4 linked regions of the Callithrix jacchus genome follow. The protein of the gene in region 1 purifies or fractionates together with the protein of each later gene. This does not show direct contact. Links are inferred from orthologs where the notes say so. Each region holds a gene or a part of one and is shown in the gene's direction. Other genes may lie near its edges.

Evidence for each region.
Region 2: the proteins of ACTL6A (region 1) and SMARCB1 purify together in Homo sapiens (affinity purification with mass spectrometry; 11 studies listed by BioGRID and IntAct, with this or other methods). This does not show direct contact. The link is inferred for Callithrix jacchus from reciprocal best matches to the Homo sapiens genes ACTL6A and SMARCB1.
Region 3: the proteins of ACTL6A (region 1) and ARID1B purify together in Homo sapiens (affinity purification with mass spectrometry; 5 studies listed by BioGRID and IntAct, with this or other methods). This does not show direct contact. The link is inferred for Callithrix jacchus from reciprocal best matches to the Homo sapiens genes ACTL6A and ARID1B.
Region 4: the proteins of ACTL6A (region 1) and RUVBL2 purify together in Homo sapiens (affinity purification with mass spectrometry; 11 studies listed by BioGRID and IntAct, with this or other methods). This does not show direct contact. The link is inferred for Callithrix jacchus from reciprocal best matches to the Homo sapiens genes ACTL6A and RUVBL2.

What each region holds. Positions count from the first base shown.
Region 1 is NC_133516.1:7,798,281-7,803,780, forward strand, and holds part of ACTL6A (actin-like protein 6A), read left to right. Parts: intron 1-1,490; coding exon 1,491-1,567; intron 1,568-1,733; coding exon 1,734-1,908; intron 1,909-4,727; coding exon 4,728-4,828; intron 4,829-5,500.
Region 2 is NC_133502.1:192,686,962-192,692,461, reverse strand, and holds part of SMARCB1 (SWI/SNF-related matrix-associated actin-dependent regulator of chromatin subfamily B member 1), read left to right. Parts: intron 1-2,918; coding exon 2,919-3,056; intron 3,057-4,420; coding exon 4,421-4,548; intron 4,549-5,500.
Region 3 is NC_133505.1:164,031,808-164,037,307, forward strand, and holds part of ARID1B (AT-rich interactive domain-containing protein 1B), read left to right. Parts: intron 1-960; coding exon 961-1,057; intron 1,058-2,799; coding exon 2,800-3,583; intron 3,584-5,500. UniProt on the Homo sapiens protein: Involved in transcriptional activation and repression of select genes by chromatin remodeling (alteration of DNA-nucleosome topology).
Region 4 is NC_133523.1:42,868,004-42,873,503, forward strand, and holds the end of RUVBL2 (ruvB-like 2), read left to right. Parts: intron 1-2,126; coding exon 2,127-2,246; intron 2,247-2,642; coding exon 2,643-2,772; intron 2,773-3,810; coding exon 3,811-3,925; intron 3,926-4,055; coding exon 4,056-4,081; 3' UTR 4,082-4,163; downstream 4,164-5,500. Other genes in the region: choriogonadotropin subunit beta precursor, read right to left, coding at 4,235-4,546, 4,776-4,943, 5,301-5,315. UniProt on the Homo sapiens protein: Possesses single-stranded DNA-stimulated ATPase and ATP-dependent DNA helicase (5' to 3') activity; hexamerization is thought to be critical for ATP hydrolysis and adjacent subunits in the ring-like structure contribute to the ATPase activity.

The sequences.
Region 1 (5,500 bases):
ATAATTATAATAGCAGTTGACACTTAGCATGTTTATTTTCTAAGACTTCATATACATGAAAGTATTTAACACATTTAATCATTAGAGCATCTTATGAGATAAGAGCTGTTATGTACATTTTATATATTAGGAAACTGAGGCAGAGAGGTTAGTAAATTGCTCAGGTTCTTGTACATGTCTCCTTGCAACCTATATGAGAGTATGTCTCCAGAATAAATGTGTATAATTCTATGTATGCACAATTTCAACTTTAATAGATATGACTGAGTTGCCTGTAGTGGTTGTCCCACTTAGAATAATAAATTATAGAATCACCCTAGTTGATGGTGGAGGGAGGTTGCTGGCATATTAGCCTGGTTGTTCATTCACCTCAGGGTAATTCATGGCTAACTGCATCCTTCTACTAAAATTCAAAGCTACTGTCAGTAGTCTTCCCTATAAAACTTTCTCTCCAGATTCTGGTAACAATTATTTCTTCTTGTTTCTTCAGTTTGAAGAATGGCAGTGGGTTCATTATTATCAGTTATCACTACAGTACTAGGGTACTGTACTGTCCCTTCTGGTTGTCCTATATTTTACCTCTATCTTTGTAAATACTCCTTTTAATAAGTAAACTCAGATTTCCCAGTTTTAGTGTACCATTTCTTTCTTTTTTTTTTTTTTGAGATGGAGTTTCGCTCTTGTTACCCAGGCTGGAGTGCAATGGCGCGATCTCGGCTCACCGCAACCTCCGCCTCCTGGGTTCAGGCAATTCTCCTGCCTCAGCCTTCTGAGTAGCTGGGATTACAGGCACGCGCCACCATCTCCAGCTAATTTTTTGTATTTTTAGTAGAGACGGGGTTTCACCATGTTGACCAGGATGGTCTCGATCTCTTGATCTCGTGATCCACCCGCCTCGGCCTCCCAAAGTGCTGGGATTACAGGCTTGAGCCACCGCGCCCGGCCTTAGTGTACCATTTCTTAACTGATTGAACCGCTGCTGAAATACGGTGTATCAATTTTTATATTTTAATTAAATGATTCTTTAAGATTTATTTGAAACTAGGTTCAAGTGAGTAATAATATGAATATAATTGGGCTGAGTGCAGTGGGTCATGCCTGCAGCACTTTGGGATGCTGAGGCAGGGGACTGCTTGAGCCCCAAAGTTTGAGTCTGTCCTGGGCAACATAGTGAGACCTTGTCTCTACAAAAAAAAAAGATTTAAAGTATTAGCTGGGCGTGATGGCATGCACTGTAGTCCCAAGTATTTGGAAGGCTGAGGCAGGAGGATTGCTTGAGCCTGGGAGGTTGAGGCTGTAGTGAGCTATGATTGTGCCACTGCACTCCAGACTGGGTAACAGAGCAAGACCTTGTCTCAAAAGAAAAAAAAAGAATGTAATTAATTTTACAGAGCTTTTACATACATTCTTATTTTAAGTACATTAAATACTTTAATTTTCATGTGATACTTTGCAAGCTGTTAATGCTAATTAACTTCTAATCTTTTTAGATGAAGTTGGAGCCCTTGTTTTTGACATCGGATCCTATACTGTGAGAGCTGGTTATGCCGGTGAGGACTGTCCCAAGGTAAGTGTAATGTTGGAATTAATTTGATATGTAGAGCCATTCATGTAAATTAAATTCATGCAGAAATTCTGATTCAAGACAAATACAATAAAGACGTTAGTCGCGGGAAAAAAATGCCTTCTTGGTAAAAGGTGAAACTCATATATCATGTTTCTGACTCTTACAGGTGGATTTTCCTACAGCTATTGGTATGGTGGTGGAAAGAGACGACGGAAGCACACTGATGGAAATAGATGGCGATAAAGGCAAACAAGGAGGTCCCACCTACTACATAGACACCAATGCTCTGCGGGTTCCGAGGGAGAATATGGAGGCCATTTCACCTCTAAAAAATGGGATGGGTATGATGTTTTCCCAGTGGAATTGATTATAGAGGGTACATGGTATATTTTAGATATATATATAAAGCAGTGGCGTTTTATAAGTTGAACATCAGCCATGTTTTTTGTTTTGTTTTTTATTCCACAAACTGATTTCCAGACAGTGAGAATACAAAGATGAATAAGAAATGTTCTTTTTCCTCAAAAGCTTATAGTTAGTGGAAATAGATGTTTACGTACAAATAATAGTGCCCTGTGGAACAAATGCTACAATATAGATATGTGCATAAGCAATGGGACTAGAGAGGAGAGTATTTGATTAGTGTTGGGAGTCACTGATGGTTTTCACAAAGGTGGTAACTCATGATGAATCTTGATCAATGAATAAGAATTAGCCTAGCTGACAAAGCTGGGTAAAGCAGAGGGCCCAGCATGTGTGAAGGGATGGAGTTGTGAAAGAAGCTTATGTGCTTAGAGATGTAATACAATTGCGTGTGGCTGCAGCATTGGGCTCATTAGGGTCAGTAGCAGGTGAGGTAGGTGGAGAGCCATCATAAAAGGGCTTGTAAACCATCCCAGAGTTGTATTAAGCTAGTTGCTGAAGGATAACCCCAAAGGAATTTAAACAGATGTGATATGCTCATATTTGCCAGCAGGAAAGATTAATGGTAATATGTAGGCTCTAGTGAAGGGAGACAGTAGAGACAGCAAGTTCAATAGGAAGATAAGAGTCCAGATCAGAAATCAAGAGGGTTTAAACTGTTAGATCATACTGGTAGAGATTTTGAAGGGACTTTCAGGGTAACCAGGAGACAGTGTTACAAAGTGATCGATGGAGTAAAAGCAAGAGAGGACTCAAAGTTTCCTAGATTTTTGGTTGGGGCAACTCTATGCAGAGAGCACCATGCATTGAGATAGGAATAGAAAAGGAAGGAGGAAGTGTTATGGTTTTAAAAGGCATGGTTGGCTGGGCATGGTAGCTTATACTTGTATAATCCCAGCACTTTGGGAGGCCAAGACAGCAGGTGAATTGCTTGAGTCTAGGAGTTCAAGACCAGCCTGGGCAACATGGCAAAACCCCATCTCTACTAAAAATATAAACATTTGCCCGGTGTGGTGGTGCATACCTGTAATCTCAGCTACTCGAGAGTCTGCAGCACAAGAATCATTTGAACCCAAGAATCATTTGAACCCAGGATGCAGAGGTTGCAGTGAACTAAGATCCCATGACTGCATTCCAGCCTGTGACAGAGCGAGACTCTGTCTCAAAAAAAAAAAAAAAGGCAAGGTTATTAGGCATACCCAGAATCACTCTCAGGTCAGTTACTCACAAGCAAGACTCACTCACAGGACTTAGCATGTGGTTGTACTCACAGCTAAGATTTATTGTACCGAAGATTCAGATACAAAACAACATCAACAAAGGGAAAAGGGATGGGATGATGAAGTCCAGATGCAAACTTCTTAGAGTCTCCTCACAGAGGAGTCATACAGGATGTGCTTAATCCCTCCAGCAATAAATCACAACACACGTGTTATCTTCCATGAGAACTCTGAGACTCAGTACGCAAGGATTTTACAGTGGGCTGGTTATGTAGGTACCATCTACCTGGCCTGTAACACAATTTTAGATTCTCAGAAGGAAAGCAAGTCTTCAGAACTAACATTGTTTGTACAAACAGTGTTGGTATAGCAAGCTACTCTTACCATTTAGGGACAAGTTTTATATCAACATGGGGAACTGTATGCCAGTCATGTTTCCAGACACCAGCTAAGAGACAGCCTTACAAGCAGGCCTTTCTCAGGCTTGCAGTGTTAACTCTTTCATGTATAATAAGTAAGTGGGTTCACTGAGTTCAAAGTGCTCAGAACATCCAGGTGCTAATTCAGTAAGCAGGTGAATAAAAGGTCATAAGAAAGATCTGAAGATACGGAGTTGCGTTTTATTACTCTGAAAAAAAATTGGAATATGAGAAGAGGATTGAAGATGGAGTTCCTGGGGAAAACTTGTATATTTTGACTAATAGAGAATAAAAGGTACCCTTGAAGGAGAAGGAAAGGAAACAATTAGGGATGTAGGAAAAAAATCAGGAGAAGAACAAGGAAAGAAAAAGTTTCAGTGATTCTCAGTGTTTTCTGCTGTGACATTGACAGCTTTACACTGAGAAAGAGAAGTTAAAAAAAAAATCCAGGTGGGCCTGTGGAAGTATATTATATAATTAGTGACATTTTTTCTTTGGGCCATGACAGAAAAGTTTGTAAACTCTTGTGTAGGCAATGCTGTCGTAATTTAGAGAAGTCAGATGATTAAAAATGTGGAGTATCCATGAATTTGCCTATTAGAAGTCGTGAGTGTCAGTTCTAGTGGAATGTTTAGGAAGCCAAATTGAAGACATATGCTCTTCTCTAATTTTTAGCATGTCTTTTAGTTTTTTCCAAATAGATTGTAAGTTTTTGAGTGTCGGGTCTAGACCATACAATTCTTTTTTTACCCCAGCAGTAGTCTCATTCAGAAGGCCATACAGTTCTTCTGTACTTCCTGTGATCATTCTGATCACATTCTGGGCCTCTGAGAAGTACTTACTGAATTGAATAACATTTATTGGGCATTTTAGGTCTGTTAGATTAATTACATTTGGGACAGGTCTGGGGTCTGGAGGACCAAAAAGAAGACAAAGGTACTCTCTGTATAAAGTACTGTGTTAGGAAGTTGATCTGTAAAATCAGTAGGTTCTGTATACTAAAGTATTAATTGTCAAGTCATAGAAACAGTATCTCAAAAGATGCTGTATTCATCTTCAACTATGCATTGTTTCTGAGTTACTAATCTTATCTTCTAGTCGAAGACTGGGATAGTTTCCAGGCCATTTTGGACCATACCTACAAAATGCATGTCAAATCAGAAGCCAGCCTCCATCCTGTTCTCATGTCAGAGGCACCGGTGAGATAAAGACTTTCTTTTTCACATTTCTCTAGTTGTTTTTTTTTTTCTTTTTTCATTTTCAACTCAATTGATGACTATTTCTTTTTTTTTAAAGAGGCATAGAAATTCATATTTTGAATTTGAAAATTAGGAAAAAGGGATTCATTTTTAATACTATCGTATAACTTTTACTGTTCCAATAAATAAAACATCCAGAGAACAACAAAACACCCTAATGGATTTTGTGGTTATTTCTATATTTCCAGGTACTTGTTTAACATTTTATTTACTTTTTTATTTTTTATTTATTTTTAAATTTTTATATTTTTAAAGACGGGGTTTCACCGTGTTGGTCAGGCTGATCTTGAAATCCTGACCTCAGGTGATCCGCCTGCCTTGGCCTCCAAAGTGCTTGGATTACAGGCATGAGCCACCACACCCGGCCTTAACATTTTATTTCCTTGGACTGCATCTCATTTTGATTTATGAATCATTTCTTGTGCCCCAAGGGCAGTGTATATCTAGTATTAGTCAAGTCTCCAAGAGAGAACTGAGATGTTGAATGACGGCTGGAAATTTTTGGACCAAAGTCTTTTGTGAAACACATTTGGTACAGAGACAAAAAGGTCCCAGAAAGCAAGCCTAATGGTCATAAATGATCAGTGTTGTATTGTTACGAACTTAGGGTTT
Region 2 (5,500 bases), on another chromosome or scaffold:
GAAAATCATTTCTTTTTTATGATTTCCCCCAAAGAAAGGTGGCATGCCTCCAGGCTTGCCAGTGTTATAGATGTGTGCTTTGCAGATTCTTTTTCCCCCCAAGGGATGTGGTAAGAACATAAGAATGGCTTGACCTTCCCAGGGAAGTTGCAGAAGGAAATCGTATACATATGGACGGCACTTTAATTCTGCACACGTCAGCTGGGAATCTTTTATGGGGCGATAAAACAGTTTCATGGTGATCATGTCATGTGAGGAGCAGCTGCAGGAGTGGAATCCTGTTACCCTGGAGGTCAGGTCTCCACGGGTGAGGCCTGGCAGAGGTTTGAGGAAAGTGGCTTTGGCTGGCTCCACACTACTCAGTCAGCCTGGTAAGGGGACTGGCACCCTCCCCATCCTGTCACTGGGCAATTCGAGCAGAGGCTCGGCGCCCTCTCTCAGGGATCCTGGGATTGCAATGGAAGGAAAGTTTATTTATTTAATTTTTTAGTTGGAGTTTTGCTCTGTCACCCAGGCTGGAGTTCAGTGGCGGGATCTCAGCTCACTGCAACCTCTGCCTCCCAGTTTCAAGCCATTTCCCTGCATCAGCCTCCCAAGTAGCTGGAATTACAGATGCCTGCCACCACAGCTAGCTCATTTTTTGTAGTTTTAGTAGAGATGGGTTTTACTACGTTGGCCAGGCTGGTCTCGAACTCCTGACCTCAGGTGATCCACCCAGCTCGGCCTCCCAAAGTGCTGGGATTACAGCAAAGAACCCGTCTTCTTGGGCCCCTCCTCAGAGGTGGGAAGTCACTCCACCTGGGTAGGGCTCAGGAATGTGCTACTTAAATTTTTGCATTCTGGGGTCAGGTTTGGTGACACACACCTGTACTCTCAGCACTTTGGGAGGCCAAGGTGGGAGGATTGCTTGAGACCAGGAGTTTGAGACCAGCCTGAGCAACATAGTGAGACCCCATCTCTATAAAATTAAACTTTAAAAAAAAATTGCGCTCTTTGAATCTGAGTGGCCAGGATTAGGAACCATGACCCAGATAGGCTATAGTGGGGACCCTTTTCTTGCTGTCCCCTCTCTTAGTCCCTGCCCAAACTGATTCCATGTTCCCCAAATTGAGTACTACAAAACTCTCCCTCTCCCTACCAGCAATCAATGATTAGTCCCGGCCTTAGCATCAGATGTGTAAGTGACCCCCACTTTAGAAGGGAAAAGAGTCAGAGGGCCCAGAGTCCAGGCAGGTCTTGGCCATTGCTTCTGCCCTCCCCCACCCCCTGGAAAGGGGAAGGACCTTTATGCTGTCTTCTGGGGTTCCTCTTTAGAGGACATCGTCAAACGTTTGTCATCGCTTGCTCTGAACTGTTGAGTAGTTGTCGCAGAAGCGGTTGCGCAGGTGTTGGGGCCACACAGGGAAGTGATACACAGTTGCTGCCTGCTCCTGCTCACAGCCTTGCCAGGGAAAACAGGAACTCACAGAGCACAGCGGGTACCAAATGCTCTCATTTGTCTCAGCCATCCCTGGAGCCTTAGTTTAAAATAGCTTCCCCCCCCCCCCCCCGCCCCCAAGATAGGGTGTTGCTCTCTCTCCCAGGTTAGAGTGCAGTGTCATGATCTCGGCTCACTGTACCCTCTGCCTCCTGGGTTCAAGTGATTCTCATGCCTCCTGAGTAGCTGGATTACAGACATGTGCCACCATGCCTGGCTAATTTTTGTATTTTTGGTAGAGTTGAGGTTTCACCATGTTGGCCAGGCTGCTATTGAACTGTGTTTTTTTGTTTTGTTTTGTTTTTTTTTGAGATGGAGTTTCGCTCTTGTCACCCAGCTCTTGTCACTGAAGTGCAATGATGTCATCTTGGCTCACTGCAACTTCCCCCTCCCTGGTTCAAGCAATTCTCCTGCCTCAGCCTCCTGAGTAGCTGAGATTACAGGTGCCTACCACCACACCTGGCTAATTTTTGTATTTTTAGTAGAGACAGGTGTTTCACCATGTTGGCTAGGCTGGTCTTGATCTTCTGACCTCAGGTTTTGATCTTCTGACCTCAGGCTCCCAAAGCTGGGATTTCAAGTGTGAGCCACCGTGCGTGGCCCCATTTTAAACTCTTGATCTCAGGTGATCCTCCCACCTTGACCTCCCAAAGTGCTGGAGTTACTGGTGTGAGCCACTGCGCCTGGTGCTTTTGATACTTAGTAGTAAAAGCAACCTGGAATTTGGGAGAAAAGATCAAACTCTTAATGGGACATGTATTATTTAAATTACTTTGGATGTCACCTCTGGAAGGTATTTATCAACCCATCTTCTCACTTCTCTGGAAGCTTAGAGGCCAGAGGCCTTGCCTAGTGTATTTTGGGTTGGCCAGCATGTCTAAAATCACAGGCTGATCACGTCTCCTCCTTCAAAACCCTGAGGATTCCCAGCCACCTGCTGAGTAAAGTCATCTTATGGAGCAGGTGAGACCTGTGATCGGCCCCCTCCCTGGGATCCTCCTCCCTGTACTGCCCCTCGGTCTCTCCCTGCTGCTGCCCATGCCCCTCCCCCAAGGGAACCCTGACTCAGTGTCTAAGGCTCTGCTCTGTTGTCCACCCCTCTGGGATGCCTCCTCCTTGTGCCACTTCCCTGCATCCAGGAAGTGCTTCCATGGAGCCATGCCCGGTTCATAGTGCAGCACACCACAGTCGTGGGGTAGCAGCCGACTTGCATGTTGGGCTGTGTCTGGTGCCCCTCCATACCTTCACCCTTGCCCATGTACCTCTATCATCTGATGACAGCTTGGGGAGCAGGCCCCTGCAAAATCAGGTGCACAGACAACTCCCACAGGAGCCTTGAGCCTGACGGAGGTACAGTGGGCATCCTCTGAGCGTGAGTTGATGCTTGTAGGCAGGATCAGGCTCCTAGACTGATAGGGGGACTTTTCTTGTATCTCCCCAGGGAACAGAAGGCCAAGAGGAACAGCCAGTGGGTGCCCACCCTGCCCAATAGCTCCCACCATCTGGACGCCGTGCCATGCTCCACGACCATCAACAGGAACCGCATGGGCCGGGACAAGAAGAGAACCTTCCCCCTTTGGTGCGGATATGTTGCTGGCTCACTCTCCATACTGATTCCACCTTAGTTTTCCAGCAGATTTCAGTTCCCTCCTCCCCAGAAAAACACTGTGCTTTGACCTTGTGCTCCCCATAATGCTGCAGTACCTCCTCCTCTTTGAACTGCTGTTTCCCTTACTTCCATCTGCAGTCTCCCTGGCTCTGCCTGCTGTCACCTTACCGTGTCCTCCTCACCTCCCTGGCCCCTCAAATGGAGTTCTAGGGGCACAGTCCTTGGGCCCTTTCTCTGCTCTCAGTTTCTCACGGCCTGGTGCTGCCACCACCGCACTCTGCCCCACTCTCACCCTGCCTCAGACCTTAGAACACCCTCACTGCTGTCAGAACGCCTAGATCTCCTGCCCTGCAGTTCCCTCTGCTGATGCTCAGCTCCGTTCTCCCTCCTCCCCTTTCCTTTCCTCTTTCCTTCCTTCCATCATTCATCCTTCCTTCCCTCCCATCCTCCTTCCTCCCCTCCCATCCTCCTTTCTCCTTCTTTTCCTTCTCTCTTCCTTCCCTCCATCTCTTCTTCCCATCCCTAGTTGACTGTCCCCTTCTCCAATAGAGTGGCCACCCCTTTTCTCCAGCACCCTTCTCCCTTTCCCGGTCTGTTTCCCAGTGCATTCATGCCTGGCCCTCAGCTCATTTCTCTCTGTGTCTTCCATCTGCTTCCCAAGATCCCTGGGGGCACTTCTCGGCCTTCTCCATGCTTCCAGACGCCCTTAGGTTTCTTCTGTCCTCCAGCTCCATCTTACCAACCTGCCTGCTGGACTCTTCCCTCTTTATCGTCCCAAAATACCCAACTCCCTTGCTTGGAATCCTCCTGGGACTCCCTCACGGCAGTCACCAGTTTGCATAGCCTGAGAGGAGAACTGTGGGTGCTTCAACATCCGCTAGCTTTGCAGCATCCCCGACCACTGCTCCCCAGGGAATCTGCGCTCTGTGGTCTGTTGGTGCATCCTCAGCAGTTCCTCCATTCACCTGCCTTGGCCTTGCTTTAATATTTCCTCTGGAAATGTTCTTCTCCTTTCCCACAGCCTTCTATGAAAGTCGTACTGAATTTCAGGCTTCAGTATACCTTCGCAGGACGTCTGGGTTTTGTTCCAACACTGCCCAAGTCGATCCTATTGCAGACAGACTGGTGCTTGTCATTTATGGTCCCACCTGTCCCCATTAGACCGTGGCCTCAGGACTCCCGTTGGGCTTGTCTGCTACCTCAGCTGTTAGCTGACAAGTGGCCTTGTTCTCCAGATGGGTTTGCAGAGGTCTGCTGTGCAGAGAGGGAGGCTGAAAACTCACATCCCTGGAGCCCGACACCCTCACTGACTGTTGCTGCCATTTTGCTTTCAGCTTTGATGACCATGACCCTGCTGTGATCCATGAGAACGCATCTCAGCCTGAGGTGCTGGTCCCCATCCGGCTGGATATGGAGATTGATGGGCAGAAGCTGCGAGACGCCTTCACCTGGAACATGAATGGTACAAGGCAGTCGGGCTCTGCTGGGGCTGGCCGCAGCCCCTGTGTGTTACATAGGAACAGTCCCCTTTCCTGCCAGCTGCCTGTCAGGCAGATGCCGGACCTGACATGTAGGACATCAGGGCATAGTTCTGGAGTCTGGGGGTCTGGGTTCAGTCCTGGTTCTGCTGCTGTTCACTGTGGATTGGGCATGTGAGCCTTGGACTCCTTTCCCCATGTTGAGGTTGGGTAGCCCAGGGGGCCTGGCATGGGAGGGGTTTGGTCCGCATAGCATGGATGATGATGACAGTGCCACTCATACCCAGTTCAGCCCCCAAGCCCTGCACACACCCACCTTGGGTCCTATCTGCCACCCTGCTTCTGCTGTGTGAGGTTGCATGTGTGCTCCTGTGCCTCTCCTCCCCAAACTGGTCATCTTTTTGGACATCCTTACTCTAAGTCCTGGGTCAAATGCCATCTCTTCTGGCTCTTCCTGAGCTTCCAAAGCCTGAAGAACTCTGTCTTTGTGCAAATGTGGACAGCAAGATTAGAAGGATATGTATCCCAGGTGTTTTGAGTGCTTATCCCATCTGGGAGGGAGGATTGTGCATGCATTTATTTCTCTATTTTTTTCTAAGTCTGTTAGAATGTATTTTTAAATTTTATTTTATTACTTTTTTTTTTTTTTAATACAGTCTTACTCTGTTGCCAGGATGGAGTGCAGTGGCACATTCTCAGGTCACTGCAGCCTCTGCCTCCTGGGTTCAAGCGATTCTTGTGCCTCAGCCTCCTGAGTAGCTGGGATTACAGGCAAGCACCACCACACACAGCTAATTTTTGTATTTTTAGTAGAGATGGGGTTTCACCATGCTGGCCAGGAGGGTTTCAATCTCCTGACTTCATGATCCTCCTGCCTTGGCCTCCCAAAGTGCTAGGATTAACAGATGTGAGCCACCACGCCCGGCTATTATTACT
Region 3 (5,500 bases), on another chromosome or scaffold:
ACATTTCTTTCCTCTTATCTCTAAGCTTCCTTCTTAGATCTCAAGGTTAAAAGTTACTTATCGAAAGTGCCCATGTCTGTTTCACATGTGATAGTCTAAAAATTTATTTATTTTTATTATTCTCATTCTTCAATCACGTTGGGAATATATTCAGTCCATTGTTCTGTTTCCTACAAGACTTAGTATATTAACCTAAACCAGTGTATCTTTCAAAGTTCCAAATCTATTGCCTTTTAAAACTTGCTATTTTTGATGGTATTTGTAATTTCTTAATATGCTAGTAGTTGAAAGATAAAAGTATGAGTTCATTTCCATTTTAAGATGTAATAGGTGTACATTTAAATCATCCCTATTATTCTTTTCTAGCCCTTTGGGACATAGGACTTTGAAATTCTGAGCACTTGTATTTATACAGTGATTAGTTAGCTAACATTTGAATTAAGTTTGAAGTGTAGCTTTTAAAAATTAAACATTTTCCATTCATAATGAGAATGTGCAAAGGACAAACATGTCGGTGTTCTGGTACTTCTAGGAACATTGCTTTGAGTCTTAAGTTCTTCTCGTCGTTTCTGGCTTCCATGGATGCCTCACATCACAGCATTGTACGACACTTCCTAAGGCACACATCAGTGGAGAGGCGGGGCTGCGGCCTCCACGCAGAGGCCAGAGGCTCTGACAGGTGCTTACAGGGCGCCTGCCTGTTCAACCGGTATTCCTCTGACACCTATTAGCCAACAGCCCGAACCAGAAGTTTGGCACCATTCCCAAAATGGGTGTTCCCATCCCTGGTGCTAGCAGTTGGCATGCGGCTGCGTCTCAGAGGGCCTTCGTCGGAGGGGTGCACAGTGAAGGTCAAGCAGAGCTGCTGGGGGAATCGGGGTTCCTGGAAATGGATTGTTCCTTTCTCCGTTTGCCTGAAGCTCTTTCTCAGTTAAGTTTTCTTTGAATGCCTCGTTCCAGGCATGAACCTTATGGGCAGCAGTATCCAGGCCAAGGCCCTCCCTCGGGACAGCCGCCGTATGGAGGGCACCAGCCCGGCCTGTACCCGCAGCAGCCGGTGAGTTGGCGAGTGGGCGTGGGGCGCTGTGTTTTCTGGTTCTCTCCTGGAGGCTCAAACTCAAATTTGTCTTTTCAGAAGTCTAACAAAAGCGATCAGTGTTTATGGAGCATTCAGGACATAGTTAACGCTAGAAAATACTCCTGGGCTGTTGAAGTCAGCAAATTAAAAATCACTCTTGATACATGGTTTCCTGAAACAAATATAACCTGTAATAGGAAGCTGAGTACATTCATCCTTGTAAATAACAACCAGCCCAAGCTAGAGGTGGTATATTTCAGACACGTATCTGTTGTGTATACTATTGCATCAGAAGCCATTTTAGAACACAAATTTGTCAATGTTTTAAAGAGAATATGTAGAAAAGCAGCTTATTATATACTAATAATGAAAGTGAATTGGCTTTTTAAAAAATAAGATAAGCTACTAATGGTACTTATTTTGAATAAGTAGGACAGGTTTTTGCTGGTTCACAGGTGACGGCTGCAGCTCGGAGATGCTAGGCTCTCCCCCTCCAGTGCCCAGCGCTGCTGCAGAGAGTGTCCCTTCGTGGTGCGACTCTCCAGCCGTACAGGACTTTGCCATTTCTAAACAGCTTTTCATATCTGAGATCTCTTGCAAAAAATAAAAATTTTGAAAACTGTATATACATTATTACATGTATTATAATTAATTATATTTTTTTCATTAATTTTGCTGGAGCATATAGATAGGCACAGTGAATTGTTGTTTTTTTTGAGACAGAGTCACACTCTGTCTGGAATACAGTGGTGGGATCTTGGCTCACTGCAACCTCCGCCTCCTGGGTTCAAGCAATTCTCCTGCCTCAGCCTCCCAAGCAACTGGGACTACAGGGCCGCCCACCACACCCAACTAACTTTTGTGTTTTTAGTACAGATGGGTTTTCACCGTGTTAGCCAGGTTGGTCTAGAACTCCTGACCTCAGGTGATCCGCCCGCCTCAGTCTCCCAAAGTGCTGGGATTACAGACGTGAACCACTGCACCTGGCCAGTGAATTGCATTATTAAACCAACTGATCTTAAACAGCTTTCAAGTAAAGTGAAAAACACTAGCACCTCACTGCCTTCCATCAGATTCCCACCTACCCCGATTAAGCACTAATCCCAGAGCGTCCTGGGAAGCAAGCCTAGTAGCAGGTGTGGTGCCAGCCCTGTCCTCAGTGCCAGGACCAGCGAGGCTTTGGGGGAGCCCACCTGGCCAAGCCAGAAGTCAGGGCAGGAGCCATGGGATGGATGTCTGGTGACACAGGCCAGTCTGGGGAGCTGAGTCCTGTTTGGAGGCGTTTCCATAAAATGAGGCCCAAGAACCCATTTATCCTGAAACTCTTTCAGACTGGCCCTAGGTCCTAGCTGTCCCGTGGGAGGGTCCCCCTGCCTCCTGCCGTGATCCTAGCACAGCTCCCAGCATGTGTGGCATCTGCTTGTCCGTGAGTCCAACGCTGGCTGTCCTGGTGTCCCAGCCTAAGGAGAGGAGGCTTTTTTTTTTTCCCCACAGAAAGTTTCAAACACGTGAAAACAAATTTTGGATGCCGTCTCCTGAGTGTGTGACACAGTGTATATGATACTGAGATATTTAACATAAATTTCTCAGGTGTTATAGGAGCTTCCCATATTCATTTCAAAATGAACATTCTAGCAGGTAGTAACTATTTTGCATCGTTTCAGTGTGTGATTATACCTGTACGAGCACATCAGGGTGATTTATGTTTCTGTGAATTCCAGAATTACAAACGCCATATGGACGGCATGTACGGGCCCCCAGCCAAGCGCCACGAGGGCGACATGTACAACATGCAGTATAGCAGCCAGCAGCAGGACATGTACAACCAGTACGGCGGCTCCTACTCAGGGCCGGACCGCAGGCCCATCCAGGGCCAATACCCCTATCCCTACAGCAGGGAGCGGATGCAGGGCCCAGGGCAGCTCCAGACACACGGAATCCCACCTCAGATGATGGGCGGCCCACTGCAGTCATCCTCCAGCGAGGGTCCTCAGCAGAATATGTGGGCAGCACGCAATGATATGCCTTATCCCTACCAGAACAGGCAGGGCCCTGGCGGCCCTGCACAGGCGCCCCCTTACCCAGGCATGAACCGCACGGACGATATGATGGTACCTGATCAGAGGATAAACCATGAGAGCCAGTGGCCTTCTCACGTCAGCCAGCGTCAGCCTTATATGTCGTCCTCAGCCTCCATGCAGCCCATCACGCGCCCGCCACAGCCGTCCTACCAGACGCCACCATCACTGCCAAATCACATCTCCAGGGCACCCAGCCCAGCGTCCTTCCAGCGCTCCCTGGAGAACCGCATGTCTCCAAGCAAGTCTCCCTTTCTGCCCTCCATGAAGATGCAGAAGGTGATGCCCACGGTCCCCGCATCCCAGGTCACCGGGCCGCCGCCTCAGCCACCCCCCATCAGAAGGGAGATTACCTTTCCTCCTGGCTCAGTAGAAGCATCACAGCCGGTCTTGAAACAAAGGCGAAAGATTACCTCCAAAGATATCGGTAAGAATTCCAAAGCTTTCATTCTGAATCGAGTTCCAGTTGCAGTGCAGAATTTTAATTTCTGTGTAGATATTGTTCTTATTACTCTCAAAGGGATGAAAAAAATTATGACTAGAAATTATCAAGGCGCATTTTTATATGAGAATAACAGTTAGAGGCTGCTAATTTAAATTAAGAAATAGTGCCAGAAAAGATTTTGAAATAAAATGGCAGGTTTTTTTCCCCATCCTCCTAAAATGGCAGTTTTACATGTGAATGTTATTTGTGTGAAAGATCAAAGCTTCAAGTAAGAAATCAGGGAATCCTCAGTCATTATGTACTATATTTTGGGCTTAAAGATTTGACCTTAACCAAGCCACTTAATCGCTACAATACGTGCCTAACAGACCCTCACATGAGGCTAATGAAATGCTAAAGGTGACCGGAGAAAATCTGAAGGCAAGCCACTCTGTAATTTGGTGACAGCATAGTGAATTTCCATGGGAAAAAGTCAAAGCGTGGATGTATTATGTAGATTGATAGACGGTATGACAAACAGAATATGCTATGCTGTGATACATCGACTTGATATCCCCAATGCACTGGCAGACATGGGCCAAGAACTGTGTCACTCCAATGCTGATGTAGCTTGTTTATCCTCTGTGGGATGTTCTGAATACTAATCAGAGATCTGGACTGTCTGGGAGGACACATCGAGTTTCTGCATGATTTCTGAAGTACTTTTAATGCAGCGAGGGAAATAATAGGTGTGAGTTGTATTAGAAAAAATTACTCAAAAAAACTTAAGATCAAGTTGAGTTCAAATCATTTGCAGTGATTACAAAATCAAATATATTAATGATGAAAGACATCAACCACTGGACATGAAGGAGATGTAGATTGAGAGACCAGCGCAGGAGGATTGCCCAAGCTCAGGAATTCGAGGCCACTGTTGGTCAACCTAGCGAAACCTCGTCTCTGCTAAAAATAAAAACGTTAGCCAAAGTAGAACCCATTTCTGTAGTCCCAGCTATTCAGGAGGCTGAGGTAGGAGGATCGCTTGAGCCCAGGAGGTTAAGGCTTCAGTGAGCAGTGACTGTGCCACTGCACTCCAGCCTGGGTGACAGAGTGAGACTCTGTCTCAAAAAAAAGGAGATAGAGGAAAAAAGGATTTAAAAAAAGTGTGTGTGTGCGCGTGCGCGCCCGCGCGTGTGTGCACGCATACACACACATATATATTCCTTTATATAGATCCCTTTATATATACATATGTCTATCCCTTTGTGTGTGTGTGTGTGTATATATATATATCCCTTTTCATGTGTGTGTGTTATATATATCCCTTTTCATATATATATATATATATATATATATATATATATATGGTTGCAGAGGGAGAAAAGGAGACAGACACAGAGCCCCATTTTATATATAGATAATGTGTATATAAATGCACATGTATATTGTGTGTTTATGTGTGTATATGTATGTTTAAGTAAATTATGTCTAATTTTTTTTTAAATCAGTGCACGTTATATAGCATTTGTCTTCAACCTAGGGAGATTTATATTTTTATTTTAAAAAGTAATTTTGATTTTTCTATTGTAAAATCAATATGTGCCTATCTTAGAAAATTTTAAAAATAGATAAAATAAAGGTGGAAAAGCCACAGTGCCCCGCCCCCCGACCCACATCCACATCCGATGATTCTTGGTGCCTGAAGAACGCCCCAGCCTCCGGGCGGCTCCAGGGGTCTGGCCAAGCTGGGTCTCTGCCCTCTCGGGCTGGCGCCCTGCACTGCCGCCACACCTCCTGGGAATTCCAATGCCTGTTGTCTGTTTCCCCAGCCCCATCTCATGGCAAATCTCACAAACTTTCTACCTGATCATTTTGTCTCCTTCAGTAGCAGGAATATTAGGGAAAACAACAAATTGCTTC
Region 4 (5,500 bases), on another chromosome or scaffold:
CACCTCAGCCCCATTTTACAGGGCAGGACAGTGAGGCCCAGTGACTTGCCCAGGTCACAGGTCGTCTAGAAGGTGGCAAGGTCCAAACTCGGTTTCTGGGTGGCAGGGCACTGGAAGAGACCCCTAGGGCGGACGGTGTGCCCGAAGCAGCTGCAGGTCAGGCCTGGGGACTGCCCAGGGCACCTCCTATGCAGAGATGGCAGTGACGGGCGGCCCTGACTGTTAATAGACTCCGCATTTGAGAATCTGTTCACTTGCTAAGATTTATTTCTAATCCCCAAATAAATATCTGCCCTGCTTTTGGGCAACAAATTCAAGTCACCTGACACCAACTTTCCCAGCTAAGTGTGAATGAGACCAGGCTGTCTGCTCCCTTTAGCTCTCATGTCATAAGTGTCCTTGTTGTATTCTGTTGAGTGCTACGTTTGTCGCTTTTGTTTTTTGAGACAGGGTCGTGCTCTGTCACCCAGGCTGGAGGGCAGTGGCACGATCATGGCTTATTGCAGCCTCAATGCCCACCACACCCAGAAACACACACACACACATCAGCCCCCTGCCCCCAGCCTCAGCCCTCTGTCCTCAGCCTCCTCAGTAGCCGGGACCATGGGTGTGCACCACTCCGCCTGGCTAATCTTTGTTTTTGTTTTTGTTTTGAGTTAGAGTCTCGCTCTGTTGCCCAGGCTGGAGTGCAATGGCGCTATCTCGGCTCACTGCAACCTCTGCCTTTTGGGTTCAAGCAATTCCCCTGCCTCAGCCTGCTGAGTAGCTGGGATTACAGGCACCCACCACCATGCCTGGCTAATTTTTCTGTTTTTAGTAGAGATGGGGTCTCACCATATTGTCCAAGCTGGTGTTGTACTCCTGACCTCATGTGATCCACCCACCTCAGTCTCCCAAAGTACTGGGATTACAGGCGTGAGTCACTGCGCCTGGCCTATTATTTGGTTGTTGTTTTTGTATGTTTTGTAGAGGTGGGGTTTCGCCATGTTGCCCAGGCTAGTCTCAGACTCCTGGGCTCAAGTGATCCGCTTGCCTCAGCCTCCCAAAGTGCCGTCAGTTTTTTGTGCCTTTTTTTTTTTTTTTTTAACTTTTTTAGGGCCATTTGTTGGTGATTTTGCTGTGAAATGTTCCCTGAACACCGCGCGGAACTGCTGTGTAGCCTGACAGAGGCAATAGCGGGCACTTTGCTGAGCCCATGTTAGAATGCTGTTGGCGTGAGCTCCATGTTAGAGAATTAACAGTGATATTACATAATAGACACACAGAAATGAGGCCGGGCACGGTGGCTCACGCCTGTAATCCCAGCACTTTGGGAGGCTGAGGCTGTTGGATCACGAGGTCAAGAGATCGAGACCATCCTGGCCAACATGGTGAAACACTGTCTTTACTAAAAATACAAAAAATTAGCTGGGCGTGGTGGCACACAGCTACTCAGGAGGCTGAGGCAGGAGGATTGGTTGAACCCGGGAGGCGGAGGTTGCAGTGAGCCAAGATTGCCCCATTGCACTCCTGCCTGGCGATAGAGCGAGACTCTGTCTCAAAAAACAAACAAATGAAAAAACTGTGTGGAAACACACATAAATGAAAACACACATCGACTAAGATTACATGTATATTGGTTGATGAAAATATTGTGACTAGGGGCTTGAGAACTTAACCCTGTATATTCCACTGGGAGCAATGGCTCAGGATTGGCCAGTCGGTGTGTTTACGGTGACTTCCTGGAACTTCACTACTATGAATAAGGAGACTTAGCTGTATCCCCTGGCACCAGCCCTGGGCTGGCCTCACTGCAGCAGGGAACAAGACACGTGAGGTCCCCTCCTTTGTGGAACTTTATGTCCAGCACGGGAGTTGGGGGCTTGATCCAGTAATCCTGGAGGCAGAGATCTAGCTTAAAGCAGCCTGGCTCTGCAGAAGAGTGCTGTTGGGGGTGGGGGGGGGTGACACCATTGTGGAAGGCTTCACCATCAGAGGGTGACGTCATCAGGTGACATGAGGCACGAGCTAAAGGTTAAGTGGTGTTTGGCCCAGCGAGTGAGTGGTGGTGTGAGGTGGGAGTGTTGCCAGCAGAGGGAATGAAGAGGGAACATCACCCTGACAGTCCCTCTCTACCTCTTCCGCAGGATCCGGGGCACCAGCTACCAGAGCCCCCATGGCATCCCCATCGATCTGCTGGACCGGCTGCTCATCGTCTCCACCACCCCCTACAGCGAGAAAGACACAAAGCAGATCCTCCGCATCCGGTGCGGGCAGGACCAGGCCGTGTGCCTGAGAGACAGGGCTGGGGGCCACCCTGTGGGACAAATGCTGACACTGAGGTCTGGGGGGTGGCATGGTTGCTGGGCCTGCAAGAGAGAGGGCCGAATGGGCACCCAAACAGTGACATCCAGTCTGGGGGGCAGGTGCCACTGTGGGGAAGGGAGGTGAGACGCTGTGACTGGTGTGGGGGTCAGTGCCCTGGGTGGGGTCAGGAGCCCTAGGTTTTAGTTCCAGCCCAGCCCCTGTCTCCATAGTTCTTCCAGCCTTAGCATTCTGTGATTCTAAGATGCAGGCACCACACATCCCAGGGGTGGCTGCGGCCACTCCTGCTGGTCAGAGGCCAGGCCCTGGCTAAGCCATCCCGCCCCTACTGCCTGCAGGTGTGAGGAGGAAGATGTGGAGATGAGTGAGGACGCCTACACGGTGCTGACCCGCATCGGGCTGGAGACGTCACTGCGCTATGCCATCCAGCTCATCACGGCTGCCAGCCTGGTGTGCCGGAAACGCAAGGTCAGCCAAATTCGCCAGCAGGGCCAGATGGCCGGCAGGAGCAAGGATGCGCTATTTCAAGGGCTTCCGGGGGTTCCGTGTTTCATCCTAGAATGTACATTTTCAGGGGCAGGGAATTTTCATTCCTCAGGTTGATTTCTGTGTCGCCTGGCCTAGCCTATAGTAGGTACTCGGGAAGGCCGGGCGCGGTGGCTCACGCCTGTAATCCCAGCACTTTGGGAGACCGAGGCGGACGCATCACCTGAGGTCAGAAATTCGAGACTAGCCTGGCCAACATGGAGAAACCCCATCTCTACTGAGAATACAAAACATTAGCCTGGAGGCCGTGTAGATGGTGGCGCATGCCTGTGATGCCAGCTACTCGGGAGGCTGAGGCAGGAGAATCACTTGAACCCAGGAGGTGGAGGGTGCGGTGAGATCGTGCCACTGCACTCCAGCCTGGGCAACAAGAGCAAAACTTCATGTCAAAAAAAAAAGTAGGTGCTCACTATATCTCTGTTGACTGTAAGTAGATGCTGTTAGGTCCATCTTACAAATAAAGAAACAGAGGAGGCCGGGCGTGGTGGCTCATGCCTATAATCCCAGCACTTGGGGAGGCCAAGGCGGGCAAATCTTAAGGTGTAGAGTTCCAGACCAGCCTGGCTAATGCGATGATACCCTGTCTCTACTAAAAATGCAAAAAATTAGCCAGGTCTGGTGGCATGCACCCGTAGACCCAGCTACTCAGGAGGCTGAGGCAGGAGAATTGCTTAAATCTGGGAGGCGGAGGTTGCAGTGAGCCAAGATGGTGCTACTGCACTCCAGCCTGGGCATGATTGGAGACTCTGTCCCAAAAAAGAAAAAAGCTGAGGAATGAAGAGGCTGGGCCCACACCCAGTGGATAGCCAGGCAGGATTTGAACACAGGCAATCTGGCCCAGAATGCCTTCCCCTCACCTGCTACCCGCTGCTGCCTGGAGCTGGAGGTGGCATAGGCTGGGGTCTGTGCTGTGGGCCTTACGAGGAGGGTCCCCACTGAGGACTTGCCCTCCCCCTCCAGGGCACAGAGGTACAGGTGGATGACATCAAGCGGGTCTACTCACTCTTCCTGGACGAGTCCCGCTCCACGCAGTACATGAAGGAGTACCAGGACGCCTTCCTCTTCAATGAGCTCAGTAAGCGTCCCCACCCCGTACCTGCACTGCCAGTGCCACCCCCAGAGGGAGGAAGAGGGAGCTCGGCCTAAAAGGCTCAGGCCCTGCCCTCTGGGCCACACTGACCATCTGGCCTTCCTTCTCCCCATAGAAGGCGAGACCATGGATACCTCCTGAACTGGATGTCACCCCCGTCCCCACCCTGTTTTCTACCAGAGTTCTGACACTGTGACTTTATATAAAGTTGTTTTGAAGCTGGTCCCACCCTGTGTGTGTGTGGTTGCCCTGATTCCAGAGAAAGACACCCCCAGAGTGCGGATTGAGAAGCCTTTATTGTGGGACTAGTGGAGGGTCTGCTGGCTCCAGGAGTTGGGATGGACTTGTAAGGTTGCGGGGAGGGTCCTTAGAGGAAGAGTCCTGGAAGGTGGAGTAGTCACAGCCCAAGGGCTCGTTCCTGAGACTCCCGCAGTCAGAATAGCTTCGGCGGCAGAGTCCACAGCGACAGCTGAGAGCCACGGGCATGGAAACTACGGGATCCACGCCGGGCCGACAGCCAGGGAGCCGGACAGAGGTGAAGCGCAGCTCGTGGTAGTTGCACACCGACTGGGGTAAGGGCGGTAAGATGGTCTGCAGCACCCGTACCTAAGGCCATGTGGGTGGGCGAGTGGGCATGTGTCTAGGGGCCAGCACCTCAGCTGAGCACCCCAGCTCCCTCCACAGGTCCCAGACTCAGATGTCCAGGAAGCCCTCTGTTCATGCCCTCCAGCCCCATTTCCCAACCCCTGCCCAGAGAGCCAGACCACCCTTCCCCATGCCTCTGTGGGCCCCGCCCTGTGGTGGCAGCACCTGCCCCTGGTCCTGGGCAGCTCACCATGCTGGAGCAGTAGCCGGCACAGATGGTGGTGTTAAAGGCGACACACACAGGGCAGCCCTCCTTCTCAGCAGCCAGGATGGCATTGACGGGGCGACACAGTGGCCGAAGTGGCTCCTTGGATGCCCATGCCCCACCCGTGCTCAGCAGCAGACACAGCAGCAGCCCCTGGGACAAGACAGGTGCTTCAGCCGGGCCTGAGACTGAAGCCCTGAGCCCTGGCCCATCCCCAGGGGTACACCACCCTCAAGGACCCAGGAACCCTGCCTGGCATGTCTTATTCAGGACCTGCCACCCAGACACTTGCCTTTCAGAGCCCACCCCACAGCCCAGAGGACCTGAGATGTCCCAACATTTCAGTTCCCCACCCTCAGGGACTTCTCCACCTGAAGCTTACTTCAGGGTCACACCCCTCCAGAAAAAGGCCTCCTTCCCCAGCTCACACGACTCTGCCCCTCTGCCCCTCTTCATGCTGGTGATGGCCTGGAGGGAAGTGGAAGGTACCCAGGGTCCTTGCAGTCTTACCTGGAGCATCTCCATCCTTGGTGCCTCCCCTGCCTCGTGTACCTGGCTTTATACCTCGGGGTTGTGGGGGCGACAAGGCCACCAGGTGGTGGTAGCATCCTGGGGTAACCTGGACACTAATCCCCCCGGGGGCGGGAGGCGGACAAGGCCAGGGAGACGCAGCAGTGGCTCAGTGGAGCGCTCCAGCCCTCTCCCCGCAG